Xenopus tropicalis: one gene and its partner. The protein of the gene in region 1 interacts with the protein of each later gene in a pairwise test. Links are inferred from orthologs where the notes say so. Each region holds a gene or a part of one and is shown in the gene's direction. Other genes may lie near its edges.

Region 1 (3,925 bases):
CATGTGTCTGAATGAGTTCAGTAACGATGTTGCAATGCAGCCCCCCGAGATTAATATGGTACTGTAAGGATACACACTGCCTGCCTGCCCCACTTGCACAGGGGGTTAGTGTGGAGCCAGGAAAGTGCAGTAAGGATCAGAGATAACAGTGGGGTATAGAAAGCAATAACCATTGCAGAGACCCCTATGAAGTTAAAGGGGACAGAAGACTAATTCACTAACAAGAAGCTGCGCATACTGCAAGCTGTGCACAGGGCTAAAGGCATTAGGCACCGTGCAGAAAGGGTTAAAGTAAGCCTTGCATCCCCCAAAAAGCAATCAGAGCCTGGAAGCGTGCTGGGGGGGTTGCTGCGATGTGGAACAGATTGTCAGATCCATTTGTGTCCCACTTTCCTCTACAGGACCCCACCCCAGCGGCAGGTGGACTCTGTCCCTAGTAAGGAGAAGAAGGGAGCGATTGTCTGATCTGCAAACTGCCACACGCCAGCCCCTCTCCCCATTGTGAGCCCCTCTATACAAATGCTAACGAGCAGCGTGTGCCATTCGCAATCTGCCGCAAACACAGCCCCCATTATCTGTATACAGGGCCTCGTCCTTCCCCCACGTTAGCAGGGTCATTAAAATCGCCTTTATTGCATTAATAGCAGCAGGCCAGATGTCTGCTTAAAGTAAGGGTTATCAGATCTTCCCTGCTAATGAGCATAATATCCCTGCCCAGCACACCTGTATGGAGCACCCTGCCACAGGGCCCACCTGTCCAGCACTGCCATGGTTAATGGAGCCCATGAGTTGTAGCCCTGTGCCCAGATGATGCTTGCTGCCCCTGCACACACAGCTCATGAGCAAGCCAATAAATAGTCAGTGTTCCCAGAACAGCAGAAACAAATCAATGTGTTGCCGTTGGTGCATTTGTGACACACAGTGCAAAGATCTGAAGTTTTAAGGATCTTTTTGATGTTCTCTCCCATTTCGTGCAAAGCCCAAATCATAAGACCCCCATTCTGCCTGGCAACAGCATGACAAAGGGCAGCAGGCAGACTTTGAGTCATTGTAAAAGAAAAAAAAAAACCCAGTGCGCCCACCGGCCGGCCATTCTACTGAGCCCCCCCCCTCCTTTCTACTGCCCCCCCCTCCTTTCTACTGCCCCCCTTCCCCTCGTCTCCTCCCCCACGTGGCCTTCTGGCACGCGTTCTGTTGCTCTATTAGCATTACAATGCCTCCCCCGCCCGGCCAATCAGAGCAAAGGAGTGAGACCAGACCCCGCCTACGCCTCTCAGCGCATAAATACCGGCTCAGTCGCTCCGTTTCCTCACACTTCGCTTGGGATTCTAACTGCTCTGAAGCTACTGTGGATATTATACTCTTCTTCTTCCGGACCCTTTGGTGGATATTTGAGAAGTCTCTCGCACTCACATTTTTGTGGCTTACCCGGAAAATCATGACTCTGGAAGAAGTTCACGGACAAGAAACCGTTGTTGAAAGCGCTGACAGGTAATTTCAGAATACCAATTCCGCCTTCTTTTATTCTAAGGGATCTACCGCCTGCCTATCCGGGATTCTGGGATTTGTAGTTCAACCCCAGCTCTGCAGGAGGGTCGTAGTAGAGTAAAGCGTTTGTAAGGGAGAAATGACCGCAGAAATAAGCGCTATGATCCAGGGGTGCAGAGATTTGGACTCACTGGTTGCATATAGCCAAAGTGCAATATTATTGATCATATTGGGAAGTAGCTGCAGCTCTATGTGCAGTTAGCAGATGGGGGAACATGAGTGGGTGGCATTAGCTAAAGCTCCTTTTATGGAGTGTGGGGATTTCTGCCATAGCATCCAGTCTTGCAGTTATATGGAAAGAAATATTCAGTTATGATCTGGCTCTAAATGCATTTCTTTTTATTTGTCTTGTGTAGGATGCAAACTGCTGGCAAAGCCCTGCATGAACTATTGGTCTCTGCCCAGAGAGAGGAGTGTCTGACCGTTGGAGTCTATGAGTCTGCCAAAGTAATGAATGTGTAAGTATCCCACTCCTTTGCACTGATCCCACACACACCCTTTACTCATGCATGCATGTAACACAGCCCACACACAGTCCCACTTGAGGCTTGCTGGCAGCAGAACTAATGTTCTCTTTTTTTTAATTTGATTTTACAGAGATCCAGATAGTGTCACTTTCTGCATCTTGGCTGCAGACGAGTACGACGAGGGTGATATAGCCCTTCAGATCCACTTCACTCTGATTCAAGCTTTCTGCTGTGAAAATGACATCAATATCGTGAGGCTGAATGACACAGAAAAAGTAGCTCAAATTCTAGGCTTAACAGATGAGTCTGCAGAGCCCAAGGACCTGCACTGCATCCTTATTACGGTAAGTGTCATGTTCCTGCTTATCGGCAATGTTTTGGCTTTGTGCCCATGGCTGTGACTTGTGCAATTTCTTGTAAGCACAGTGTTCTCATAGTCTCTGTTCCTCTTCTTTTCTCAGAATCCAAATGAGGATGCCTGGAAAGATCCAGCCCTGGAGAAACTGGGTATATTCTGTGATGAAAGCCGTAAAGTCTACGACTGGGTTCCCAGTATCACCCTGCCAGAGTGAACATCTTTTCTCTACATTAGATTGTAAAATCTCTGCATTATTATCATGGTGTTGTGCACCTGGATGGACCAGCAGCATTCCGAAGTCTGTGGATTACGCTGGTTGAGGTCAGATTAAGTCGCCAAGACTGGCAAAGATGTTGGCTCTTGTGGAGCAGAAGAGTAAGGAGGAAAACTTAACATGGACTGATCTGTAAAAGGAAGGGTTGGTGCCAGTTTGAAGCCTCCCAAAGCACTGGGGGGGGGGCAGTCATGCCATGGAGCTGGAGGAGTTTTGCATGTGCTAAAAGCAAAAATGGAAGCTTTTAAGATGGATATGAGGCAAATTAAGCAGCTGGTTAAAGGAAAGAACCTGTTCTGTATCTGCTTTTGGAGTTTGCTGAGATATGAAACATGAACTTTATATACACATTGGAAGAGTCTGGGACTATATAGCTCTGGATTGCAAACTGAGACTGAATTCTGTTCATTGCAGCTTGTTATTGGTTATTACAGTCTACTACTACAGTCTACTACCCAGAATACATAGTAAAAAAAAAAAAAGACTTTCTGTATTTTCAACATTTTGACACTGTTGCAAATTGAAGTGCTTTTCTTGATGAAACTTGGCATTTAAAATGTTGTTTTCTGTCATTCAATAAATCATTTTAAATCTCACTTTAATTTGTTTTGGTTTTTATGCTTATCTGGTAGGGTGTTTATACCTGCGGCCCAGCGCTTGAGCTACCTACATTTTCTAAATGAACAAAATAATAAGCATCCCCCAAAACAACCAAACAAAAAAAGCTATAGTCTTGTAATAGCTGTTGGTTCACAGTTTGGGCCCCTATTGTTTGGGCATGTGTAGAAATGCAGTCTGTTTTACCCCACTACATTGGCTATTCAGAAAGCTGCCAATGTGCTGTAGTCATCCCTTTTGTTAGCAGTGCACAATAAGATTTGCATAGAAGGGGGCTGTGTTGCTTGGTATAATCCATAGTCTGCAGCAGGCAGCTAATGCTTTCTATTGAGCCCTGACCATTTGACCTGCTGCTCCTTCAGCGACAGCTGCTTATCACAAGAGCGTGCAAGGTCTATGGGCTGCATGCCTAATGAGTGCATTAGAGTGACAGGGGGCTGCTGCATAGATAGATTTTTGTTACTGCACAGACAGAAAAGAGCAGCTGGCACTGTGTTTAAGCAAGGGATTCCCCATATCTCACCCCTCAGGTTTAAAATTCCCCTTCATCCAACGTGACATTTGCCAAAGTGCAAGTTGTTTCTGCTTCTGGGATTTAGCAAAGCAAAACAAGCCACACACTATTATTGTGCAGCACTAACATTAGCATGGGTGCAAAGC
Region 2 (4,580 bases), on another chromosome or scaffold:
TTTCTTAGAGAGGCTTTGCTGTAACTTAGTAACAGGTCTGAAGCAGTGTCAAATAAACTATACCTTGATAAATTCACCATTTATATTACAGCTCTTTCTATGCCGTTTCTTTTATAGCGAATTTCGTTTTAGTCTAATGTCCCACCAGGAGATTTAGTCGCTGCGATTTGTAAAAAGCGAGTTCCAGTGACAAGTCACTTGTTTTGTCTCTACATAGAGAAGAATATAAATCAGCAGTACCTAAACCGACGATACTACTTCAAATCGCTTATCATTCCGAATCGCTATGGGACCCTTTTTCGAGCGATTTTACAAAGAAAGCATTGTCATTCAAAACTATTGGAATCGCTGAAAGTAAAAGCCACGGAGCGGGAAGTCGCTGCGATTTCCCCATTTCACTGAATGGAATTTCTAATTGTGGACGGGGTATATGAGCCTTGAATTTACGGGATATAGAATCGCTCCACTTATTAGGAAAAGACAAGCGACTTGTGCTGAAACTCTGTGAAAAAATCACAGTGACTAAATCTCCCTGTGGGACATTAGTCTTAAGGTGGCCATACATGGGCCGATTGTAGCTGCCAATATCAGTCCCTTGGTCCGATTCAGCAGCTTATCGGCCCGTGTAGGGGCAACAACGACTGGCCTGCTCGACCGATATCTGGCCTGAAATCAGCCAGATATCGATCAGGCAGGTTAAAAGATTCAGTCGGATCGGGCACGCAACGGCTCGTTGATGCAGTCCCCGAACTGACTGCACCCATTACAGTAGATGTGGATATTGGGAGAAGATCCATTCACAGGGAGACCTCGCCAGGCAAGCGGATCTTTACATGTATGGCCACCTTTAGGGTTCTGGCACACGGGGGAGATTAGTCGCCCGCGACAAAACTCCCTGTTCGCGGGCGACTAATCTCCCCGAGTTGCCATGACCCGCCATCCCGCCGGCTAACATGTAAGTCGCCGGCGGGATGGCACACGCGGCGGGGCGATTTCAGAAAATTGGCGAAAAAGACTCGCGAGTCTTTTTCGCCGATTTGCGCGAAATCGCGCCGCCGCGTCTGCCATCCCGCCGGCGACTTACATGTTCGCCGGTGGGATGGCAGGGGTAGGCAACTCGGGGAGATTAGTCCCCTGCGAACAGGGAGTTTTGTCGCGGGCGACTAATCTCCCCCGTGTGCCAGAGCCCTTATACATAGCATAATCTCTCCAGACCAGGGAAACTGGAAGTAGTTGGCTTTTGTTGAAATAGAAATACTAATAATAGGAGACGAAAGGGACACTATCTAGCAACTAGGGATATCTATCTAGCAACAAATGCTGCATTTAGTTTTAGTACCTTCCCCGCCTGAGAGCCGTGTGTAACAGTGCAGCATTGTGCCCGCCGCTAACATGTCAGCAGTCAGTCAGTACTAGGCAGCAGCTGCCGGCCCTACGCACCTGTCCTGTGGCGCATATTTTTGGAAAGCGCAAAGCAGTGAGATCCCAAAGGGAGATTATAATGTGAGAGGTTTCCCTGGAGTGGAACGTTTCTCGTTTCCTCTGGCACAGGGTGAGGCAGGACACTCCTCAAGAACAGACCCTCCCTGGAAAAGCTTGTCAGCAATGTGTGGGCTAGTGAGTGCAGAGGGGAGGGGGAGGCACTAAGACCCTGTGGCCTCTGGATAAGGGGGCAGAGGAGGAGGCACAGGAAAAGCTGTGGAAGTTGCAGTTGACTTTTTGCCTCCTTGATTTATCTAGGAAGGGAGATGAGAGAGGGGCAGGGGGCTGAGATCAGAGGCACCTCGGCTAATCCTTACTGCTTACATCCAAGCAGCCCTTTGCCTAATAACACTGCACAGATCAAGCTCATAGGGAAGCTATTAGCGCAAAGGGGAAATGCTCCCTTGCAAGATCTGGAGGATCAGATAATCAGCTCCTAAGATACCGGGGCAGCTCCACAGGCCACTACAGGGCTCAGTGCAGAGACAGGTCAGGTCTGCGCTTTTGAGCCAAGGCAACTTCTGGGCATGCAACACTGAGCAGCGACACTGAGCAGCCACACTGAGCAGCGACACTCAGCAGCGACATGGAGCGAATCAAAGGTAAGTCTCATCCTCTGCATGTTCTTGCGATGTACCTGTTAGGGCTAGCACACACACATATAGAACACATATTGGCAGTTATTATTTTGTTGCTTTCTGTCTTCTTGCCATGCTGGTTACCTGCTTGGGGGCATGTAGCAGTTTTATGGAAAGAAAGAAATTAGTGATGCTAGAAATGACACTGCTGGCTATAAACATGACATTTCCAGTCAGCTTCTTGCCATTGTAAAGTATCACTTTACAAAGAGAATTAAATATTATTGCCCCCTAATTCCTTCAGTTCTATTGTGTGTGTGCATGGCTACAGTAAGTTGTTATGTCCTTAGGGATTTCCAGTGAAATAAATAGGTTTCTATTGCTTTTGCTGTACTCCCTGCTTGCTCTGCTATTAGTTTGTGTGAGTCAGGGCAGCACATTTAATTAGCCCTTGACCAGACTAGCAAAGTGACTCCCCTTTCAGCACTCATTTTTCCTTTGTTAGCACAGGTTTGCCAAAGCCACAAACATTCTTACGTTAAGCCTGTACAATCAGGGGTGCCCATCCTTTCACCCTCTAGCTTGTGTTGCACTGAGAAAGTAGGGGGAGTGATAATAGAGCATGGCATGATATGTGTTCTCAGTACACAGCATGCAGGGTATATTTATAGTTTTATGAGGTCCAAAAGATGCAGATTCTTAGTGTTAAAATAACTAATAGTTTAAACCACTGATAGATGCTCATTCAGCCATTAAAGGAACAACCACACTGCAGGTTTTCTGGATATCTTCACATGAGAATAACTAGATGTCATCATTACAAGTCCACGTGCCATACTAAAAACAGACGTTGTATGATAACAAAAGAAATATTCATATGTACCTACTAATTAACTTTTATATCTGGCATTCTGATAAACAAAGCTAAAGATGGTTTTCTCAACTACAGTGCAATTTTTCAACTCGGGAGGTCTGAATATGTGCATAAAAACTGCCATTCTCAGACAGGGCTTGCAGGAATGACTGCTGACCAATCAGGAGAAGCATGTGGACGCATGTCTTGCACATCCCAGTTGTAAAAGATGGGTGTAATAGTGGTAACACACAGTAGAAAGCAGGGCCCTTTACATTCAATTACAGCTGAGAATAAAGTGGGTCAGAATACTAATACGGAACATGTCATTAACATTGGACCTGCCTGCTGCTGTTTTGGGGTTTTAAGTATCCTGCCAAATGAAGTGATTTGTATTGCTCCCAAGCCATATGCTTCTACTGGCACCTTGTGTGACCAAAGTTCTTGACATCGAAGCTTTCACTGATTTTCCTAGAATGATGTCATGAAAAAACGTGAATTCTTCCTTTACGACAAAATAAGTTTTCTCTTGTCTAAGCAAAGTCTTGTCTTCCTGTTAAGCTAGGACCGCTCATTCCAACCTTGACCTGAGTCCTTATACGTCTCATAGAACTCAAAAAACAAACAGTTCTGCAGTGTGCACCCTATTGGTTGCCATTTCTCTTCTACGCAGGATATGGAGGAAGCCGGGGCAGAGGGTGCGCCCAAGTCTCAAACTGATACCTAGGGGACCTCTGTTGCTACATTCCTGATCTTCAACCTCTTGTTGTTAAGCCATTGTTAAGCACAGCAGGAGCTTACCCTGACAGCTCATAAGCTTTAGCTGTGCAAAGGGAAACTGCTACATTCAATTAGTGAAAATATGTGAATGTAAAACAATAATCTTTCACACAGAAACAACCTGAATAGTAGCCTTGTTTATTTGTATTCTTCTAACAGAACCAAACCCTGAATGGCTTTCAGACTCGTGCAAGGAATAAACACTCTTGCATCGGAAAGGCTGCACCAAAACTCTGGTTTAAATCCACTCTTATATTAAGACATGTTATAAACATACTTAGTGACGCCAAGGTGGCCATATCAATGGGCCTGCTGTACATTGGCATTCAGTGACACTTCCATACAATACTGTACACATACCATAATTTTCTTCCTGTAAACAGTCGATAAAGTACTGTGAGTGTATAGATTATTTTACGCCCTGGAAGTTTTCAGTGTGCGTTTCTATATATACAGGTCCTTTTCAAAAAATTAGCATATTGTGATAAAGTTCATTATTTTCTGTAATGTACTGATAAACATTAGACTTTCATAAATTTTAGATTCATTACACACAACTGAAGTAGTTCAAGCCTTTTCATGTTTTAATATTGATGATTGTGGCATACAGCTCATGAAAACCCAAAATTCCTATCTCAAAAAATTAGCATATCATGAAAAGGTTCTCTAAACGAGCTATTAACCTAATCATCTGAATCAACAAATTAACTCTAAAAACCTGCAAAAGATTCCTGAGGTATTTAGAAACTCCCAGCCTGGTTCATTACTCAAAACCGCAATCATGGGTAAGACTGCCGACCTGACTGCTGTCCAGAAGGCCATCATTGACACCCTCAAGCAAGAGGGTAAGACACAAAAAGAAATTTCTGAACAAATAGGCTGTTCCC

Evidence for each region.
Region 2: the proteins of gadd45g (region 1) and afap1l1 interact in binary tests that used the Homo sapiens proteins (3 or more experiments, as listed by UniProt). The two-hybrid records come from large-scale screens. The link is inferred for Xenopus tropicalis from reciprocal best matches to the Homo sapiens genes GADD45G and AFAP1L1.

The regions. Positions count from the first base shown.
Region 1 is NC_030677.2:138,047,855-138,051,779, forward strand, and holds gadd45g (growth arrest and DNA damage-inducible protein GADD45 gamma), read left to right. Parts: upstream 1-1,328; 5' UTR 1,329-1,438; coding exon 1,439-1,491; intron 1,492-1,904; coding exon 1,905-2,006; intron 2,007-2,145; coding exon 2,146-2,359; intron 2,360-2,476; coding exon 2,477-2,587; 3' UTR 2,588-3,243; downstream 3,244-3,925. UniProt on the Homo sapiens protein: Involved in the regulation of growth and apoptosis. Mediates activation of stress-responsive MTK1/MEKK4 MAPKKK.
Region 2 is NC_030679.2:40,548,076-40,552,655, reverse strand, and holds the start of afap1l1 (actin filament-associated protein 1-like 1), read left to right. Parts: upstream 1-1,539; 5' UTR 1,540-2,068; coding exon 2,069-2,084; intron 2,085-4,580. UniProt on the Homo sapiens protein: May be involved in podosome and invadosome formation.